Oryctolagus cuniculus: one gene and its partners. The protein of the gene in region 3 binds, or shares a complex with, the protein of the main gene of each other region. Links are inferred from orthologs where the notes say so. Each region holds a gene or a part of one and is shown on either strand. Other genes may lie near its edges.

What was found.
Region 1: TPRKB (region 3) and LAGE3 share a complex: the UniProt entries of both Homo sapiens proteins name them as parts of the EKC/KEOPS complex. The link is inferred for Oryctolagus cuniculus from reciprocal best matches to the Homo sapiens genes TPRKB and LAGE3.
Region 2: TPRKB (region 3) and OSGEP share a complex: the UniProt entries of both Homo sapiens proteins name them as parts of the EKC/KEOPS complex. The link is inferred for Oryctolagus cuniculus from reciprocal best matches to the Homo sapiens genes TPRKB and OSGEP.

What each region holds. Positions count from the first base shown.
Region 1 is NC_091453.1:132,704,197-132,711,354, forward strand, and holds LAGE3 (EKC/KEOPS complex subunit LAGE3), read right to left. Parts: upstream 3,208-7,158; 5' UTR 3,121-3,207; coding exon 2,912-3,120; intron 2,640-2,911; coding exon 2,511-2,639; intron 2,231-2,510; coding exon 2,116-2,230; 3' UTR 1,915-2,115; downstream 1-1,914. UniProt on the Homo sapiens protein: Component of the EKC/KEOPS complex that is required for the formation of a threonylcarbamoyl group on adenosine at position 37 (t(6)A37) in tRNAs that read codons beginning with adenine.
Region 2 is NC_091443.1:54,298,558-54,304,656, forward strand, and holds the end of OSGEP (tRNA N6-adenosine threonylcarbamoyltransferase), read left to right. Parts: intron 1-978; coding exon 979-1,098; intron 1,099-1,268; coding exon 1,269-1,444; intron 1,445-3,624; coding exon 3,625-3,720; intron 3,721-3,866; coding exon 3,867-3,916; intron 3,917-4,055; coding exon 4,056-4,134; intron 4,135-4,671; coding exon 4,672-4,737; intron 4,738-4,848; coding exon 4,849-4,939; intron 4,940-5,172; coding exon 5,173-5,248; intron 5,249-5,323; coding exon 5,324-5,422; intron 5,423-5,576; coding exon 5,577-5,616; 3' UTR 5,617-5,812; downstream 5,813-6,099. UniProt on the Homo sapiens protein: Component of the EKC/KEOPS complex that is required for the formation of a threonylcarbamoyl group on adenosine at position 37 (t(6)A37) in tRNAs that read codons beginning with adenine.
Region 3 is NC_091433.1:129,228,635-129,235,340, reverse strand, and holds part of TPRKB (EKC/KEOPS complex subunit TPRKB), read right to left. Parts: intron 6,523-6,706; exon of another isoform or gene 6,390-6,522; intron 4,927-6,389; coding exon 4,764-4,926; intron 3,911-4,763; coding exon 3,788-3,910; intron 1,358-3,787; coding exon 1,181-1,357; intron 1-1,180. UniProt on the Homo sapiens protein: Component of the EKC/KEOPS complex that is required for the formation of a threonylcarbamoyl group on adenosine at position 37 (t(6)A37) in tRNAs that read codons beginning with adenine.

The DNA of each region.
Region 1 (7,158 bases), on a different chromosome or scaffold from region 3:
CATGCCGTCTCTCTCCTCCTTTATAGTCCTCCTCCGCCAATCCTAACTCGGCTGCCCACACGCCGAGTACGCTGCTCTCCTCCAATCAGGAGCAGGTCCTGCAGCTTGTCAAGTTGGTGAGAGGCAGCTGGGTAGAAGCTGTTGCCTCCTCTCCCAGCGCCATATTGTGGGAGAGCAGATGCATAGAATAAGTCTTAATTCCAGTAACTCAGTCCAGTCCGGGTTGCTCCCAACAGAAGCTGAACTCAGAAGTGGAGCCAAGGACTTGCATCCAGGTACTCTGATAGGGGATGCAGACATATCAACTGCTGGGTCAAATGCCTATTCCTGTAACACCTTTTATGTATCGATAAATTAATGTTTCTGAAGAATTCTAAGAAAGAGTAAACATTCATGTAGACTTTATTTTTTAAAAAGATTGATTTATTTGAAAGAGTTACAGGGGTCGGTGCTATAGTATAGCGGGTTAAGTCTCTACCTGTGGCACTGGCATCCCATATGGGTGCTGGTTCGAGTCCTGGCTGCTCCACTTCCGATCCAGCTCTCTGCTGTGATCTGGGGAAGCAGTGCAAGATAGCCCAAGTACTCGGGCTCCTGATCGGCCCAGTTTCACTGTTGCAACTGTTTGGGGACAGAACCAGCAGATGGAAGACCTTTCTGTCTCTCTCTGTAATTCTGCCTCTCAAATAAATAAATCTTTAAATAAAAAAGAGTTACGGGGCAGGGGGGGAGTCAGAATCTTCCATCCGATGGTTCACTCCCACACTGGCCACAACAGACAGGGCTGGGTCAGACCAAAGCCAGGAGCCAGGAGCTTCTTCCAGGTCTCCCACATGGGTGCAGGGGCCCAAGGACTTGGGTCATCTTCCACTGCTCTCCCAGTATATTAGTAACGAGCTGGATCGGAAGTGGAGCAAGTAGGACTTGAACCAGTGCCCACATGGGATGCTGGCATTGCAGGCGGGTGGCTTCACCCACTACGCCACAGCACTGGCCCCTCATGCTGACTTTTAAAGATATCAGGAAAAGCTTAGTGCTAAACTTGTAAAACTTTATATATATTACCACTGCATATTTGCTATATAAGTACAGGTCTAAAAGGAAGGAAATATTCAAAAACATTGACAGCAAATGCTGAATGGTAAGGCCAATTGTTTATTTTCCTGTTCTATTTCTTAAATTGTCTACAATTAAATTTTACCTTTAAGATTTATTTATTTGAACAAGTGACACAGAGAAAGGTGTGATGGTTCACCACACAAATGGACCAGACTGAAGCCAGGAACCTGGAACTCTATCTGGGTTTCACACATGGGTGGTAGGGGCCCAAGGATTTGGGCCATGTTATGCTGCTTTTCCAGGGGCATTGGCAGGAAGGTGGATGGGAAGTAGAGCAGCTGGGACTCAAACTGGTACTTATACGGGATGCCAGCAACGTAGGTGGCAGCTTAACCCACTGTCCCTCAACACCAGCCCCAACTTGCATTTTTTTTTATTTATTTTTATTTTTTGACAGGCAGAGTGGACAGTGAGAGAGAGAAACAGAGAGAAAGGTCTTCCTTTGCCGTTGGTTCACCCTCCAATGGCCGCCGCGGCCGGTGCACCATGCTGATCCGATGGCAGGAGCCAGGTGCTTCTCCTGGTCTCCCATGGGGTGCAGGGCCCAAGCACTTGGGCCATCCTCCACTGCACTCCCTGGCCACAGCAGAGAGCTGGCCTGGAAGAGGGGCAACCAGGACAGAATCCGGCGCCCCGACCGGGACTAGAACCCGGTGTGCCGGTGCCGCAAGGCTGAGGATTAGCCTAGTGAGCCGCGGCGCCGGCCCCCAACTTGCATTTCTTAAACATGTGAATCTCGTTTCTTCCACTGCAACTCCAGGACAATGGCAAGGATATTTGTATGTGAAAAGGATATGAAACTGGGAAGAGGTCAGTTTTATTTTCTGTGGTAGCAAACATTTAAGCACTGGTGAAAACAAACAGATCTTGAGCACCCAGAACCCAATGCAGGCAAGCCATTAGGCCCCATCCTGCTTCGGGCATGATCGCCCTAGGGAGACACATTTTCTAGGAGGCGAGCAAGGTAACAACTGGGCCCCTTTACCCAGTCCAGTCTTAGCGGGCAACGGGAGGCCCGAAGCGCTGCAGGGTGCGCACCACCAGGGAAAGCTGCTCAAGAAAGCTGATGATGGAAACTCGGAGGAGGCGAGGATCTTTAGCTGTCCAGCGGCTAAAAGGGAAGGAACAAGAAAATCAAGTCGGGGACAGTAGCTGCCCACATCCCTTGCTCTACCCCTCAGGCATCCAGTGCAGCAGATCCTGGAAGCCCCGGTATTACAGGGCCTCTCGGGCAGCGTCCCAGACCTGCTCCTTAGACTTCCCCCGGAGTGCCTCCAGGCCTCCCAGCCTACCTCTCAGTGGAGAATGGCCACATCCCCTGTTGCCTTCCCCTCACCGCCTCCCGCTCCCCCACTCCTGCCACCCCACCCCCGGCCCCCGGAAGCATTTACACCGCCAGGACGGTGCCGGTCACTGCGAGGTCCTTTCCAATCGCTTCTGGGTGAGGCTCAGCATCTGGAGCCAGGGACTCACAGGCGATTTCTGCCTCCAGACGGGTGGGAAAAGGCACACTGAGGGTACTGGTGGAGGTTTGGTAAAGGCACCATCGGAAGCGACTTTGCCCGAGTCTGTTTCCCTGGCTCTTCTGACGGCTTCCATGACCTCTCTCGGGCGCCCCCCACTGGCTAACGCTTTAATCCCACAGCCATCCGGGCGGCTCCGATTACCCTGCTCTTCTTTCTGTGCTACCGGTCCTCCCACTCGCCCTTCCCACCTTCTGTTCCAGGCTACCCTGCCCCCACCACGGGCAGCCTCCACCCCCTTCCCCCACTGTGCCCCTCCCGCAGGATACAAGGAGTGTGGTCGCATTCCCGGGCTTGCGGCTGCTGTCGCGGCGTCTCCGCCCGGAACGGCAGCGTGCGGTGCCTGCGCGACTTCTCGAGTTCCACGGGCTGCAGCTGCTTCTGTGTCGGTACCATCGGGAAAGTCGCGGCCACGCCGTCCACGCTGGGTGTGAGCGCCGCCCGCCACGCCGCCTGCGCCTGCGTCCGCAGCCTGCATGGCTGCCGCTGCCCCGCCCTCAACCCCACCCTCAGGGCGCTGCGCCACGGCCCGCCATCTCCAGGAGCTTCGTAGATTGCCCGCCCTCCTGAAGCTCCGCCCCTCGCGCACGACCACGTCCACGCGCGCCTGCGCAAACACACCTTTGACGAGGCTGTTGGGACGCCTCGTGAGTTCCCGCGATAGTGGCCCAACGTGGGGGCTCTTGGAGACCCTGGCAGCTTCAGAAACACTGCATTCGTGATTCGATGCTAGTGCGCTAGCCAGAACATACCTCCAGTGAAGCAGGCAGATGCGTGGTCGGTTCCCGACAACACAGCGCTGCTGGTACCCACAGGCCCTGGAGAAACTGAGCTGCAATATATATTTTTTTTAAGATTTATTTATTTTGGGGCCGGCGCTGTGGCTCACTTGGTTAATCCTCCGCCTGCGGCGCCGGCATCCCATACGGGCGCTGGGTTCTAGTCCCGGTTGCTCCTCTTCTCTCCAGCTCTCTGCTGTGGCCGGGAGTGCAGTGGAGGATGGCCCAAGTGCTTGGGTGCCTGCACCCGCATGGGAGACCAGGAGAGGCACCTGGCTCCTGGCTTCGGATCGGCGCAGCGCCAGCCGTAGCGGCCATTTGGGGAGACCTTCTCTCTGTCTCTTTCTCTCACTGTCTAACCCTATCTTTCAAATAAATAAATTTTAAATAGATTTATTTGAAAGAGAAAGAGGTCTTCCATCCACTGGTTCACCAGTTGCCCGCAACTGCCAGAGCTGCGCCAATCCAAAGTCAGGAGCTTCTTCAGGGTGTCCCACACAGGTGCAGGGGCCCAAGGACCGGGGCCATCTTCTACTGCTTTCCCAGGCCACAGCAGAGAGCTGGATTGGAAGAGGAGCAACCATTTCATAGCGTTGCTGGCTACAGCCTTACCTGGTAAACTACAACGCCACCTTGGCTCTAGATTTTTTTTCCGTCGCTGAAGTTTGCCAAATGTATCGTAGTTCCATTGTATCAGTTCGTTCTGTTAGGTAACAAGATCGATCTCAGACTGTGTGTGAGGCTGTTAGGTAGCAAGGGAGAGATTAGCTGTGTGTGTGAAGAGGGCCTAAGGAAAACAAAGCCCTGGTGGAAAGCAATGTAGCAGCCTGGGACGTGCACTTGGGCAGCAGTCCTGTATTTTTTTACACGACAAAGCCCTGTCCACCCCCGTCACTTTATTGGTGGCCCCAGCCTTGCCTCCCAAAAAGGCACCCCAGGAGAACCCTCTGTCTGGCGCTAAGCAGGCTGCTCAGTCTGATAACTGGGTAATAAAACTTTGGGAGGGATTTCACCCATTTCACACCCAGCAAAGCCCTTGCGGGGAAGAGAAACAGGGAAGAACTGGACCCCAGTCCCTCAGAAGGCCCGGTCTCAGTGCGGACTGGGCTCTCAGCTCAGCTCTTGGTTCTTTGGCGCTTGGCCCATCAGGAAAGTTCTAGCCGCTGAACCTTGCCCTCCCCATTCTGAATGACTGGACACTCGCTCAGGTGCCCAGTTCCGACACGTGCCCTGCCTAGTGTTACGCCTTGCTGACGACTCTCTCACATCTGACTTCTCTTTTGCGTGAAGGCAAGAACTTCCATTCCACACAACTCTGCTAACAAGAGGGGCCAGAGAAAGTGGGATTTTTGGTGTGGATGAATGAGAAAAAGTGTAGATGCGAGCCTTGGAAGCAGACCAGCATCTGCACCAGAACGTGCATTCGCACATTGCATCACCTCCTTAGCAGACCCAGCCCTCCCCCAGGGGCAGCTTGAGGGAATTTTTCCCACCTCCAGCCAAGAGGGCTATTAAGGTCCAGCCACACTGTGCTGATGAAGGTCTGGGAGGAATTTCAGGAATTCAATGCCCCGGAAACCCTCCTGGCAGCCTTATCCCACAGAGGGAGGGGGATGGAGAAGCAGAGGGCCTGTATCCAGAAACACTGCGCTCTGGGCATTTAGCATTTGATGGCTCAGGTCCTTGGGCCCCTGCTACCCTTGTGGGAGACCAGGATGGAATTTGAGCCCGTCCAGTGGGGCTGGGGGCACGTGTGCCCCTCAGATATAGGTAAAATGTCTCTAGACCGACCGGCAGCCCCCCCCCCCCCCACTAATAGCTTCTTTGCGCATGTGTGACCTTGCAGCTTTCCATCACACCTTCAGGGTGGGGGGGGGCAATCCTTCACCCAGAGCCGGCAGAGGAGGGGGCTGAGCCTTTAGAGGGAGTCAGGCTGCTTCCAGGAGCCCCCCACTATCTCCATGATTCCTAAGCCAATCAACATATAGTATGTGAAACCACCTCCCATCTGATGGGCACCTCCAATCAAATAAAAGTATCTGCTTCTTTGCATACTGTTTCCTGTTTTTTAATTCTATACTAAAGGGAGGAAAAGAACCTAAGAAACTAACCCCGGCAACAGCACTCCCCTCCACTAGTAGCAGAGTTCCAGGTTCCTGACTTTGGCCTGGCCCAGACCTGGCTGTGGCAGCCTTTTGGGGAGTGCAGCAGTCTCTCTCCCTCCCTCCCTTTCTCTCTGTAACTCTGCCTTTCAAATAAATAAATAAATAAATCCCCCCCCCCCAAGATTTATTCCTTTATTTGAAAAGCAGAATTACAGAGAGGGAGGGAGAGAGAAAGGTCTTCCATCTGCTGGTTCACTCCCCCCAAACAACTGCAACAGTCAGGTCCCGGCCAGTCAGGAGCCAGGTCTCCCACGTGGATGCAGGGGCCCAAGTACTTAGGCCATCTTCCACTGCTTTCCAGGCGCATTAGCTGGAAGCTGGATCAGAAGTGCAACAGCTGGGACTCAAACTGGCACCCACATGAGATGCCAGTGTAGTTAGGAAAATGGCGCAGTTTTATCTATGGCGCAATCTACACCCTGACACCATCCTAGGCTCTAGCCCCAGCCGCCATTGCGGGAAGCCAGGTGGCCACATGGCCCAACCACCGGTGTCAAGCTCCTCCCCCATCCTAATTCGCTGCTCCTGCTTCCCTGCCTGCCCTCCGGAACACGTGGCTCTCTTGGCTCCTCTGCTCTCCTCTCCTCCCCTCGCCTCCTCTTGTCTCTCCTGCTCGCTCTCTCTTCTCTCCTCGCTAGCTCCTCTCCTCTCTGTCTCTCTTATACTCTCCTTCTCTCCCTTTTTCCTCTTGGCCCCTCCCCTCCAGCCTGCGGGGTTTCCCCAATAAACCCCTTTCCCTTACTCCGGTGTTTGGTGTGTTTTGTGGCGGCCTAACAAGTGTCACAAGCGGCAGTTTAACCCACTCGGCCACAACTTTGGCCCTTCTGCAGGTTTTTTTTGAAAAGATTTATTTATTTGGAAGACAAGAGTGAGCGCGCGCGCGAGATCTTTTATCTGCTGCTTTATTCCCCAAATGCCCACAGTAGCCAGGGCTCAGTCAGGCAGAAGCCAGGAGTCGAGAAGTCAATGCAAGTCTCCTACATAGGCGGCAGGGACCCGAGCACTTGGGAATCCTCTGCTGCCTTCCCAGCCCCCTTCGACAGCTTTATGACTGGTGATTCCGTGCACTTACCTTCCACAGCCTGCTCTCCACAGGCTTGAAACTTGAGTTTCCAAGTTCTAGTAAAAATCACATCAGATGACATTCTTGCTTAAACACCAAAACAACCCAGACTTGCTGCTGTGGCTTAGAAAAGCCCATGTGACCTGGATCCCAGCTCCTTTTATGCCTCTCACCTCTCCTTCCTGCCCTTCATTCTCTGCAGCTCCGGGGGCCTGCCCCGCACCCAGCCCTTTGTATGTGTTTTGTGAGGCTCTGCCCCCAGTGTTTCCCATGGCTGACTCCTCACCATAGGGAACTTGGTTTCCACCTCACCTCCCAGAGGCCTCCAGTCACTAGGATAACCCAGTACCCCCAGGCACTCTTCAGCATTTGCTGATTTCACTTTGCTGCATGCTACTCCTAATCATCTTGTTCAGTGCTGGATCTCCAGTACTTAGTAGATGCAGTAGCCACTTTGTTGCTTGTTGAATGAAACAAAGTAGGAAGTACAAGCCTTGCTGTGCTCCATG
Region 2 (6,099 bases), on a different chromosome or scaffold from region 3:
TGGTGCCTTAACATTGTGTCTTGGGGACTAAATGAAAGTACCAGACACTGAACAGCTTCTGTTCCGTATGGTTTATGAGCTATTGTATCTTGCCTACTCTCCCCTCAAACACCTGCACATATAGGAGGGGGCAAATGATTTCCATGTACCAGAGCAGCCTCTGAACAAGTAATGTGACGGGTTGTACGTATTAGAAGTGCTTGTATATCTATGTTTAAGTCTTTCCTATTCTAAGCACTTGGGTACTGGGAGTACAAGAATAAATCAAATAGCCAATGTTTTCAGGTAATTGTAGTTAAACTGTGGAAACCACTGATAATTTTAATGCTATGCTGTAATTGTTAGGTGTAAGATACAGTGATGTGATTATGTGTAGGATTCTGCATGAGGTAGGTATCGGTTGAGTTTGTTTTTTTTTTCAAAGATTTTTTTTTTTTAATTTTAGAGTTATAGGCAGAGAGAGAGAGAGAGAGAGAGAGAGAGGTGTCTCCCATCTGCTGGCTCATTTCCCAAATGGCCACAATGACCAGAGCTGGACCAATCTGAAGGCAGGAGTCAGGAGCTTCTTTTGGGTCTCCCACATGGGTTCAGGGGCCCAAGCATTTGGGCCATCTTCTACTGCTTTCATCAGCAGGGAGCTGGATGGGAAGTGGTGCAGCGGGGACTCGAACTGGTGCCCATATGGGATGCCGGCACTGCAGGTGGACGCTTAACCTACTACGCCACAGTGCCGGCCCCTCACTTGGGTCTTAATGCTGAGTAGGAATTGAGTAGGAAGAAAGGCACTTCTGATACCTGAACAGCTTACGTAGAGGTTAGAATGTGTCTGAAAACCTGGAAGACAGGGTGCTTGAGGAGAATGGAAGGAGTCTTCCTGCATTACTGAAACTCAGGAGGCTTCACTGTCATAGTTTTAAAATTCTACTTGTCTTTGCTGCAGAAAACCCTTATGACCCCTGGCCTGTTCCCATTTTCTAGGATTCCTTCCAGGTGACACTGCCAGGCACCACCGAGCTGTTATCCTAGATCTGCTGCAGGAGGCGCTGAGCGAGGCTGGATTAACCTCCCAGGATATTGACTGCATTGCCTACACCAAGGGTATGACTGGGGGAGGGGTCAGTGTTGGAGGAATGTGGAGCCTGGGTAGGTCAAAATGTCCTCTGCCTTGCCTCTGTCACCACCACAAGCCCTCTCCCGCTTTGACATTCCCTAGTTCCTCACCTGTTTTTTTCCAATCCAGCATTCTGACTACCATTTCTGTCCCCTAGGTCCTGGCATGGGTGCTCCACTAGTTTCTGTGGCTGTCGTGGCTCGTACCGTGGCCCAGCTGTGGAATAAGCCATTGCTAGGCGTGAACCACTGTATAGGCCACATTGAGATGGGCCGTCTCATCACTGGAGCCACCAGCCCAACTGTGCTGTATGTCAGCGGGGGAAACACACAGGTATTTTGAGTACTCCACCTATTTCATCCTACTTTGTGGGCAGTGAACCAGTGACTTCTGTGGCTTACCTGAGTTGTGGGGACTGCCTGTGAAACAGAACTGAACCTAGCTCTTCACCAGAAAACTCACAACAGAGTTCGTAATAGCAGATTTCGACAGGTTATTAAAACTTTAGGTGACTTTTATATATTTGATTATACAAAAAAGATTAGGAATTTCCAATTTAGAAAACAATGATAAGGATTTAAGCTTATATTATTTTGAAGCTTTTTTTTCTGTACATTTTAGCAATTAAAACTAAGGGGCACTACCAATTTATTTATTTATTTTTTTAAGATAACTAGACATTTTGTAATGAAGGTAAATGTAGACTTTGCTATTTTAACACTACAAAATGTAAGTAACTTTAAGAAGCAACTTTATAAATGTTAAAAAGAATTTTACATGTATAGGTGTAGCTAAAATTGCTTGGGATACTTTACATGACCTTTTAAGGTTGGGATTGGATTTCTTTCCCACGGAACACCTAATAGGGTTATTAGAAATAGCTCAGCATTGTCCCCAGCTTATGAAAGGGTTGTGTTCTGAAACTGTTTTGTGAAGTGGTTACTGTGAGGCACACCTTCCTGTGGTGACCATGTGGGAACATGAGTGCGTAGAGGGCAAGTAGTTGAAGCCTGAAGGATGACATACAAGTTTAGGGACTTGGGTTGTGGAAAGCAGCAATAGACACTGTAGGAGTTCATGAAGAGAAGTGGTAAGGGTTCCTCTTCCTCTTCCCTTTCGAATCTTTCTTAGATGTTAAAAGCAAAGATGATGATTGGGTGGTAAGGAATAACTAATAGAAAAAAGGTTTTTTTGCCAGCAAAGAAGTATATCAGAAAGGAAGAAAATCCCTAGTGGCACTGGGAGGGGAAAGGAACTCTCTGGTCCCTGGGAAGCCTGCAGCATGAGACCGTAGGTGCTGGGTATTTGCTGTGTGGAAGTTGGACACATGAAGAACTGGCCTCAGGAGACTGCCATTGCTGGGTTGGGTGGTCCATTGGTCTGACCCCACATAAGGTTTTCTGTTTCATCAAAATGACTTTCTTTCCAAATGCCACTACCGTGGTAGGAATCTAGAATGATTCTTGCTTCCTGTCTCCAAGCAAGATACCTGTTCCTAATCTACACCGGCAGGGTGGCGTCTAAGGAATGTGTCCAACCTGTGAAGCGGAGAAATGTATTTGAAATTATAGCTTGCGGCCGGCGCCGCAGCTCACTAGGCTAATCCTCCGCCTTGCGGCACCGGCTCACCGGGTTCTAGTCCCGGTCGGGGCGCCGGATTCTTTCCCGGTTGCCCCTCTTCCAGGCCAGCTCTCTGCTGTGGCCAGGGAGTGCAGTGGAGGATGACCCAAGTGCTTGGGCCCTGCACCCCATGGGAGACCAGGAGAAGCACCTGGCTCCTGTCAGCGGATCAGCGTGGTGCGCCGGCCGCGGTGGTCATTGGAGGGTGAACCAATGGCAAAGGAAGACCTTTCTCTCTGTCTCTCTCTCTCACTGTCCACTCTGCCTGTCAAAAAAAAAAAAAAAAGCCGGCGCCGTGGCTCAATAGGCTAATCCTCCACCTTGCGGCGCCGGCACACCGGGTTCTAGTCCCGGTTGGGGCGCCGGATTCTGTCCCGGTTGCCCCTCTTCCAGGCCAGCTCTCTGCTATGGCCAGGGAGTGCAGTGGAGGATGGCCCAGGTGCTTGGGCCCTGCACCCCATGGGAGACCAGGAAAAGCACCTGGCTCCTGGCTCCTGCCAGGATCAGCGCGGTGCGCCGGCTGCAGCGGCGGCCATTGGAGGGTGAACCAACGGCAAAAAGGAAGACCTTTCTCTCTGTCTCTCTCTCTCACTGTCCACTCTGCCTGTCAAAAAAAAAAAAAAAAAAAAAAAAGAAATTATAGCTTGCTTCTGCCCTGACCAATCTATCTTCTATAGATTAGGAATCTACTCTGGAAATCCTCAGGGTATGTGGGCTTCTTAGATAAGAGCTATGTTTTTAAAAATCACCCCTTAAGGGTCTGGGGAAGCTGTTTTTTCCATGTTGTCTTTGAAGCTCTGGTGGCTGTGTTGACCCTCTGCTACGTTCTTCCCCAAAGCCAAGTACTCCTCTTTACAGCCCTGAGGTTTCATGGAGATCCTCATCACCTCTAGGTGATTGCATACTCAGAGCGTCGGTACCGCATCTTTGGGGAGACTATCGATATTGCTGTGGGTAACTGTCTGGATCGTTTTGCCCGAGTGCTCAAGGTAAGCCCATGGGGCAGCAGGGAATCTAGATGTGGGTGGATTCCTGGGGAGCTATGGAAGTGAAGGAGGAAGTAAATAGCTTCGTCTTCCCACGTGCCTGACTCCATCCTCTTCCAGTCTTTTTTTTTTTTTTTTTTTTTTGGTAGATTTCCAATGACCCCAGTCCTGGCTACAACATTGAACAGATGGCAAAGAGGTAAGGGAGTGCAAGGTGGAGGCTGGCTGCTAGGGCTTCAGGGCTTGCTCTACATGTACATTAGCGAGATTCGGGAAAGGCTTTGCAGGGTGAGCGCCAGCTGACTGTAGGCTCTGTGCCCTTACTTATCCCCATATAGAGGCAAGAAACTGGTCGAGCTGCCCTACACTGTAAAGGGGATGGACGTCTCATTCTCAGGGATCCTGTCTTTTATTGAGGTGAGTGTGAGAGGTAAGATGGGGGCATTTCTGTGTTTTTTTTTAATGAAGCTTATCTGTTTTACTTTCTGTTTTATGTCTTATATATAGCATAGTCCTGACCTATATCAGGTGCTGAATAAACTCACAACAGTTATTGGCCATCTTCTCTGTGCCAGGCACTGTTCTAGAAAGCAAGGATACAGCAGGGAGCAAAACAGAAATTCCTGCCTACGTGGAGCTTAGATTCTAATGAGGGAGATAGACAAGAAACAAGAGGGGGAAAATAACCTAGAGTACATCAGGAGGGAAAAGTGCTATGAGAAAAATTAAGCAAGATGCATAAGGGGTGGGGTATGCAAGAGCACGCGTTCAAGAAGTAATTCTAGAATCTGGAGTGCTACCAGTTCTTGGTACCAGAGAAGGGCAGGGTGTGGTATAGGATTTGCTCGCAGTGTGAATTGTGGTGAAAGATGCTAATTCTCTTGGCTGTAACTTTTGCTCTCATGTAATCTCCACATCACTGTTACATTGTTCCTTTTTCTCCTTCATTTGCAGGATGCAGCCCAGCGGATGCTGGCCACAGGCGAGTGTACTCCCGAGGATCTGTGTTTCTCCTTGCAGGTAATGGAGTACAGGCTGGTGCAGAAAGTTTGGGCTGGGGGAGGTTTTATACAATAGAGCAGAACTAAGCTGGGATGTCCCTGATATTTGCTCCTTGTCTGTCCCCCACAGGAAACCGTGTTTGCAATGCTGGTAGAGATCACGGAGCGAGCTATGGCGCACTGTGGCTCCCAGGAGGCCCTCATTGTGGGAGGTGTGGGGTGTACGTATCATTGAATGGTGTTGCTCTTTCCTTTTCTTGGCATTGTGAGTCTTAGTCCCATTACTCTAAATGGCCAGGGATTTGGAAAATTATTAGTTTGCTCTCTTGCCCTGTGCCTCCCCATTCTTGCCTCTAGTCCTCTACTTCATTGTCCTAAGTGCACTTAAGATGTGCAGCTGGGTCAGGGAGAGATACCTGAAACTAAGCTAACCCTGTCTCCTGCCTCTTTATAGGTAACGTGAGGCTACAGGAGATGATGGAGATAATGTGCCAGGAACGTGGAGCTAAGCTTTTTGCCACAGATGAGAGGTAGAGACCTTTTCTTGTTCTGTTACTGTGATTTTATGCCCCTAGATCCTAAATCTCATGTCTCTTGCGTCCCAGATTCTGCATTGATAATGGAGCCATGATAGCCCAGGCTGGCTGGGAGATGTTCCAGGCCGGACACAGAACCCCACTCCGTGATTCTGGGATTACACAGAGGTGAGTGATTCCCTCTTTGTGGGGAATAGACAGGCTTGTTTGGGAGGTAGGCCAGAGTCAGCACAGGAGAGAGTCCATTCCTGATGGGGAGACAGAGAAAAATGGAAGGTGGTAAGGGGTAGACCTCCATCAGATTTTTCCTCTTTTTCCACAGGTATCGGACAGATGAAGTAGAAGTTACCTGGAGGGACTAGCAAGATGAACAGGATCAGAGTAGATAGTTTCCTAAGGGGAGCCCACAGGAACCTGGGCCTGACTCTCCTTCCTGACTTGGGAGTCATGGCAAGGCTATGGAATCCAGTCCCCCTGGCAAAGCTGGGGCCTGCAAGCACGGTTGGGAGCCCCTGTGGAACCTTAGGATGGCTCAAAAATAAAGAATTTTTGATTTTATATGTTGATAATTAGATTGTGTTCCTCAGAACAGGGTACAGTCTTGTTGATGGAGTGAACAGATAAGGAGCCGGGGTCAGAACAGCACTGTGACTGACTGTGCAGGTAGCCTCTGGAGGCCTCTGCCCAGGAGCCAAAAACGGGGAGAAGTCATGGGTGCTGTCCTAACGGCTCTCTAGCAATGTTGTTTTAGTATCAGACCCAGTCCTGTCTGCTTTATAGTCATTATCTCATTTGAATTATGTGATGTAGACACTCAGGACTTTCTTCAGGATAGCCTGGAGATA
Region 3 (6,706 bases):
AACGCTACTCCTTAAGGCATACACTTTCTTAACTGAGAACAGTTCATCAACTAAGTTTCTAATTATACTGTACATAAACCTGCACCTTCTAGTTATCGAACTTTTTTTTTTAAGATTTATTTTATTTATTTGAAAGGCAGAGTTACAGAGAGAGGTAGAGACAGAGAGGTCTTCCATCCACTGGTTCACTCCCCAGATGGCCGCCAACAGATGGGGATGGGCCAGGCCAAAGCCAGGAGGCAGGAGCTTCTTCCAGGTCTCCCACATGGGTGCAGGGCCCCAAGCATTTGGGCCATCCTCCACTGCCTTACCAGGCGCATCAGCAGAGAGCTAGATCAGAAGTGGAGCAGTCGGGATTCGAACCAAAAGGGATGCTGGGGCTTTAACCCACTGTGCCACAGTGCCAGGCCCTGAACATTTTTTAAAATATTAAAAAAAAAAATAGGTGAACTGTTGATTACTAAGCAAGCAGCACTGACATTCCTCATCTGTCACACTCTATATAAATATATAGTTTTACAGGGGCCAGTGTCATGGCATAGTGGGTAAAACCACTGCCTGCAATGTCAGCATCCCATAAGGGCACCAGTTCATGTCCCGGTTGCCTCACTTCCAATCCTCCATGGTAATGGCTTGGGAAAAACAGCAGAAGATGGCCCAAGTGCTTGTGCCCCTGCTACTTACATGGGAGGCCTGGAAGAAGCTCCTGGCTCGTGGCTTCAGCCCGGCTCAGCCCTGGCTTGTTGCAGCCATTTTGGGGAATGAACCAGCAGGTAGATTTCTCTCTCATTCTCTGTAGCTCTTTCAAATAAATAAAATCTTTTAAAAAAGTTTGTATAGGGGCCAGCACTGTGGCATAGCAGGTAAAGCCACCACCTGCAATGCTGGCATCCCATATGGACGCTGGTTCGAGGCCCGGCTGCTCCACTTCCAATCCAGCTCTCTGCTATGACCTGGGAAGGCAGTAGAAGATGGCGCAAATCCTCAGGCCCCTGCACCCACGTGGGAGACCCGGAAGAAGCTCCTGGCTCCTGGCTTCAGATCCATGCAGCTCCAGCCACTGTGGCCAACTGGGGAGTGAACTGGCAGAGGGAAGACCTCTCTCTCCCTTCTGCCTCTCCTTCTCTGTAACTCTTTCAAATAAATCTTAAAAAAAAAAATTGTGTGAAGTTTTACGAACCTTTTTGACTTCTGTAATATTTGTTATTTCAGGAAGCTTTTCCAGAGAAACCTGCTGCCCTTCCACTTGAGATATTAGGTCTTCTTGATTTATTTGTTTTTCTCTCTCTTCAACGTAAACAATTAGAATTGAAGTATCATTTCCTGAGATACCAAATTTTTTCAAAGCTTCTGAAATCTAAGAAAAAATACAAACAAAATCCAAAAGCATCAAGATAATGAGTCGGGGTTTCCTGTACCTGAAACACCTCCTGGTCCACCATCCTCCTTGGTACAGTTCTTCTTCACCTGGAAACAGCTGTCTGCCTGCTTTTCCCCTCAATCGTCCCTTTCCACCAACTACTGCTAGGGTCTCCAAGGCACCCCGGGCCTTTAGCCGACCTGGTTCCTATGGAATCAGGCCCAGACTCCTTGGCACTTCACATAAATAGCCCACTCCCACGGCCCAAGTGACCCTCTAGCCACATGCCCCTGGCCTCTCGGGCTTGGGGATCCTGCCAGATTTCACTCTGTCTCCCCCTTTCCCTGCAGCCTGACCACCGAATGTGTGCTTCAAGGCCTGGTTCAGCTGCCACTCTGCCACACCCTTCTTCTTCCGTTACCCCGACAATTAACATCATATTTCCATATTCACTGTAGGGCACGTTAACTTTTGTCTTGTTTATCTGCCTTTCCTCAGGAATATATTTGCATTTTCTGCCCCTGGCACTGTAAATGGGACAAGTTCCATGTCCATTGAACAGTTTCGTGAATTATTTCAAATGTTTTCAAAGAAATAACTAATCTGGTAAACTGTATTCCAGGTACTGGAGAATTCCATTAGCAGGCTGAGGCAAGTGCATTTTACAAACTTTGTAATTATCTGTATTTCAGACCATGCCACAGGTTTCCTAATTTTTCTCTTGATGCTGTTAGTACCAGGTTGCATTATTAACAGTAGTAGTAGCAGCAATACTAAAACTTCATTAGCAAAATTTCAGGCATTTTTGCATATACAGTGTGTGGAATGCCTTTAGCTCAATAACTTTTTCTTTTAAAAGATTTATTTATTTAAAGGTAGAGTTACATAGAGAGGTTTTCCATCTGCTGGTTCTCTCCCCAAATGGCAACCAACAGGTGGGGCTGGGCCAGGCTGAAACCAGGAGCTAGGAGCTTCCTCTGGGTCTCCCACATGGATGCAGGGGCCCAAGCACTTGGGCCATCTTCTGCTGCTTTCCCAGGCACATTAGCAGAGAGCTGGATTGGAAGTGCAGCAACCAGGACTTGAACTGGTGCCCATGTGGGATGCCAGCACTACACGAGTTGGCTTACCCACTACCCCACAGGGCCAGTCCCTAATTCAGTTAGCTCTTATTGGGAAAGTATTATTGTGAGTATTTCAAGCTGTGGACTCTTCCTGTGTAGTAGATGTATGAGCAGGCTTTATCCCTTCACCTGTCAATCTACCATGCCTGCCTTCCCAGGATGCACCTGTGTCTCATCCAGGTCCAAGAAGGAGAAGCCATGATGGCCACATGGAAGTGGATGTGCCATAAAAATCTCAGAGAGCTCATGCATGCTAAGACCTCCCCTCCATTTGTTATTTAATTGACACCACCCCTACTTCATAAAAGCAGCTGATAACAGAGGAGGGACCTTCTTTTGCCCTTTGCCATGCTTGGGGACCCTTCTCTGGCTTTCTTTCTCTCTCTTCTCATGGGCACTCTCTGGCCCATTCTTGACAGGTATTTCTATGTGTGGGGCAGCCCACTCACCATGCATGTACATTCACTCTCACTTTTAAATAAAAACTTTTCACTTGTGCACTGTATTATGCCTCTGCTTTGAATTCTCTCTGTGCGGGGCCAGTCCTAGAGTAAAGATTAAGATACCAGGGCCGGCGCTGTAGCATAGCGGGTAAAAGTCACTGCCTGCAGTGCTGGCATCCCATATGGGCGCTGGGTCGAGTCCAGGCTGCTCCACTTCTGATCCAGCTTCCTGCTAATGTGCCTGGGAAAGCAGTAGACGATGGCCCAAGTCCTTGGGCTCCTGCACCCTTGTGGGAGACCCAGAAGAAGCTCCTGGCTCCCAATCAGTGCAGTTCCAGCCATTGTGGCCATTCGCTGAGTGAACCAGCAGATGGAATTCTCTCTGGCTCCGCCTTTCAAATAAATAAAATCTTTTAAAAAAAAAGATTAAGACATCAAGGCCCATATCACCAGTAAGTTCCTGGTACACAGAAAGGACAAGAAGTTTACAGGGAGAGTGAAACACGTGCCTGCTAACACATCAACTGTCCGTGCCTAACGTCTGGTCATTGAGGTTTCCGCCTGTTTCTTAAACATCAGTACTGACGAGATCTTCCCAATCCCGTATGTTAAGAAGGACAAACAAAACTAGCCTCCCTAGCTTAGCTCAACTTCTGTTTTCCTCACAAGCAAACTGGCTCCAAGGCCGACTCAACTATTCAGAGGCAGAGCTCCACTCAACTCTCTGTCCAGAGCTCTCTTTGCAGTTATTCTGGTCTATTCCTAATAACTGGTTTGCAGGAACTCAGTCTCCGACCCATGTCTGGGGAACACACAGATCATTAGGACAAGGTTAAAAGAAACAGTGAATGCCACCTTACATTGTTGTTTGGGGAGAGGTTGAAAATAATTTCCGTAGACAGTGTTCTTGTCTTCATTTTTCCCAGTTTGTAGAGGTGAACGGCTTTGTTTGCTGCCACAAGTATCTGAAATGGATCGACAATCTACCAAAGAGAACAACAAGAATCAGAGATTCTGGCACACCCTGCAGACACGGGCCTTATCCCAGGGTCGCTCCAGTGTCAAGCTGCCTTAGCTTATCACAATTCTTGTGGAGTATACTTTCAAAACTATTACATCAAAGGTCTGGATACTGAAAAAAATCAGAATAGTAAACTTTAAATAAACAGTAAGAATGTTTAACATTTATCCAGGGCTAATATTATCAGAAAGGTCCATTCTAAAACATTTTACCTGTATGATCCTTAATCCTAAAGCTACCCACAGAAACTGACATTATTCACAGGTAGTAGCTGAGGAGACTGAGGCGTGGCGTGTCAGGGTGTGAATCACAGCTCTCCCACCTAGGGGAGCTGGCTAAGTTAGAGACAAAAAATGCCAGAACTCACTTCACCAGGTTGTTGGGAAGGTGAGTCAGAATTAGAAGAACGACACTTAGAGCAATCCTAGGAGCACGTCAGTGCCACATAAAGGCTGGCTGTCACTTGCTCGGAGCTGCAGTAAGCAGCAGAGCTGTGGCTGGGTCCCGGTCACGTCGTCTTAACCGCGGCACCACGCCTCTCCAGACTGGCTTCCTCACAACGCTCATCTCACAGATGAGCAGCTGGGGTCCCTGGCGTCCACCACGGGGGTCAGCCACACTACCTTTCCTTTTCCCTGGGGCAGGGCCTGGTGCTTCTGTGTCCACTCACTGTTAAATTCAAGGTTGGCCAAGTCTGAGTTGGATGAGAACTTTTCACTTGATGCTAAGATTGTAGGCTAACCAGTAGCATGGTGAGAAAGTGGCACAGCCTTAAATGCCTGCGTGGTGCCTTCATTCTCCCATTTTGTACTCACCACTGTAGGATTTATCAGTGAACCATCAATGGTGCCTTCCATGGCCTTTTTTCTCAGGTCTCCAGCATTTTTTACATCTTTAAACAACAAAAGGGTCACCCTGCATTCGGGAAACAGGTCCAGCTGGTGCATTAGCTGCATTTCACAGATAAGCAGGACTCCACTGCACAAACCCAAAAAGACTAATAAGTTTCCTTTGTTAACATTATGATTCATTCCTTCACAAACCAGTATCCTTGCCAACAAATAAGTAAAAGTAGCTGTAACAGCAGCACAGAACGGTTAAACGAGAAAACCCTGCTCCCAAGCACATCTGTCTTCTGAAGCCCACTGAGCTGCCTGTAGTTCCTTTACTGCTGCTGGAAGAAAGTCTAACCAGCCAGTCTGTTCGTCCAGATGAGCAGGCTGGGGTGCGGGGGGCTGCACCAGGGGGCTGCTTCCCAGCAGATAGCTAGGAGCAGAACACCTGTGGGACTAATGAAACCTTACTCTCAGCCTTTGTAACTTTCTGGCTCACCACTTTGTATTTTAGCAAGACCTGCACACAAATGTTAAGGAATAAAATAAAATTTGAAAGATGAAGTATCACAACTTACCCAAAGATACTCATTCCACACATGGCAATTAGGTAGAGAGGACATGATTATTAAAGAATCAATAATATGTTGGCCCTTCCTTAGACACAGGCATAACACGGAAAGGATAGAAATGAAGACGTTTTATTTATTTATTTGAAAGGCAGAGTTAGAAAGAGAGAGGAACCTTCCATCAACTGGCTCCCTCCCCCAAATGGCAGCAATGGCCAGGGCTGGGCCAGGCTGAAGCTGGGAGCCAGGAGCTGCTTCTGGGTCTCCCATATGGTGGTAGCAGCCCAAGCCCTTGAGCCATGTTCTGCTGCTTTCCCAGGCCCATTAGCAGGGAGTTTGATCAGAAGTGGAGTAGCTAGTACATGAACTGGCACCCGTATGGGATGATGGTGTCACAGGAAGCATCTTAACCCACTATGCCAGAACGCTGGACCTAACAGACAGTTTTAAAAAAGACAATTTAAAGGGCCCATATTGTGGCATAGTAGGGTAGGCTGCTGCCTGAGAAACTGGCATCTCATATCAGTGATGGTTCGAGGACAGGCTGCTGCATTTCCAGTCCATCTCCCTGCTAATGTGCCTGGAGAAGCAGCAGCAGATGGCCCAAGTTCTTGGGCTTTTGTCACCCATATGGGAGACACAGATGGAATTTGTCTCTTGGCTTTGGTTGGGCCGAGCTGGGGCTGATGCAGCTATTTGGGGAGTGAAGCAGAGGATGTAAGATATTTCTGTTCCCACCCCCTCTTTGTAACTCTGCCTTTCAAATAAATAAATTAAAAAAAAAAAAAAAGATAGCTTGAGTAACTAGAATGGTGCTATGCTTTAGATATTAGTCCAGTTGTCCTCCAAAGGCCCGGCTGTTAAAGGCTTGGTCCCCAAAGTCTTATGTTAATGTATCCACTATCATTTCAGAGGCAGGGCCCTTCGGAAGTGATCAGATTGGATTAGGTTGCTGGGTAGAGCCCCCAGGGACCACGGTGGCTTTCTAAGGAGCCGCAGACGGACACACTCCCACTTGCCATGTGATGCTCTGTGCTACCTGGGACTTTTCCAGCAAGAATGCCATTACAGATGCTGAGCCAACAGGGCCACCAGATCTTGGGCTGTGAACCTCCAAACCAAGAGCTGAAATAATTCTCCTTCTCTCACAGCTTCCCAATCCGAGGTACTGCATTGTAGAAAGAAAAAGCTGACTATTACAAATGACCTAACCACTTCCTTGAATGGAACATCTTCAGAGTCTTAACGAGGTATTTGGGTAGGAAAATCTGATGGGGCCATTTTGTCCTTTTATCTGGTGGGTCCCAGATTTCTTTTTCTCAAGGAATTATTTGGAAATGTGAAGATTACATAACA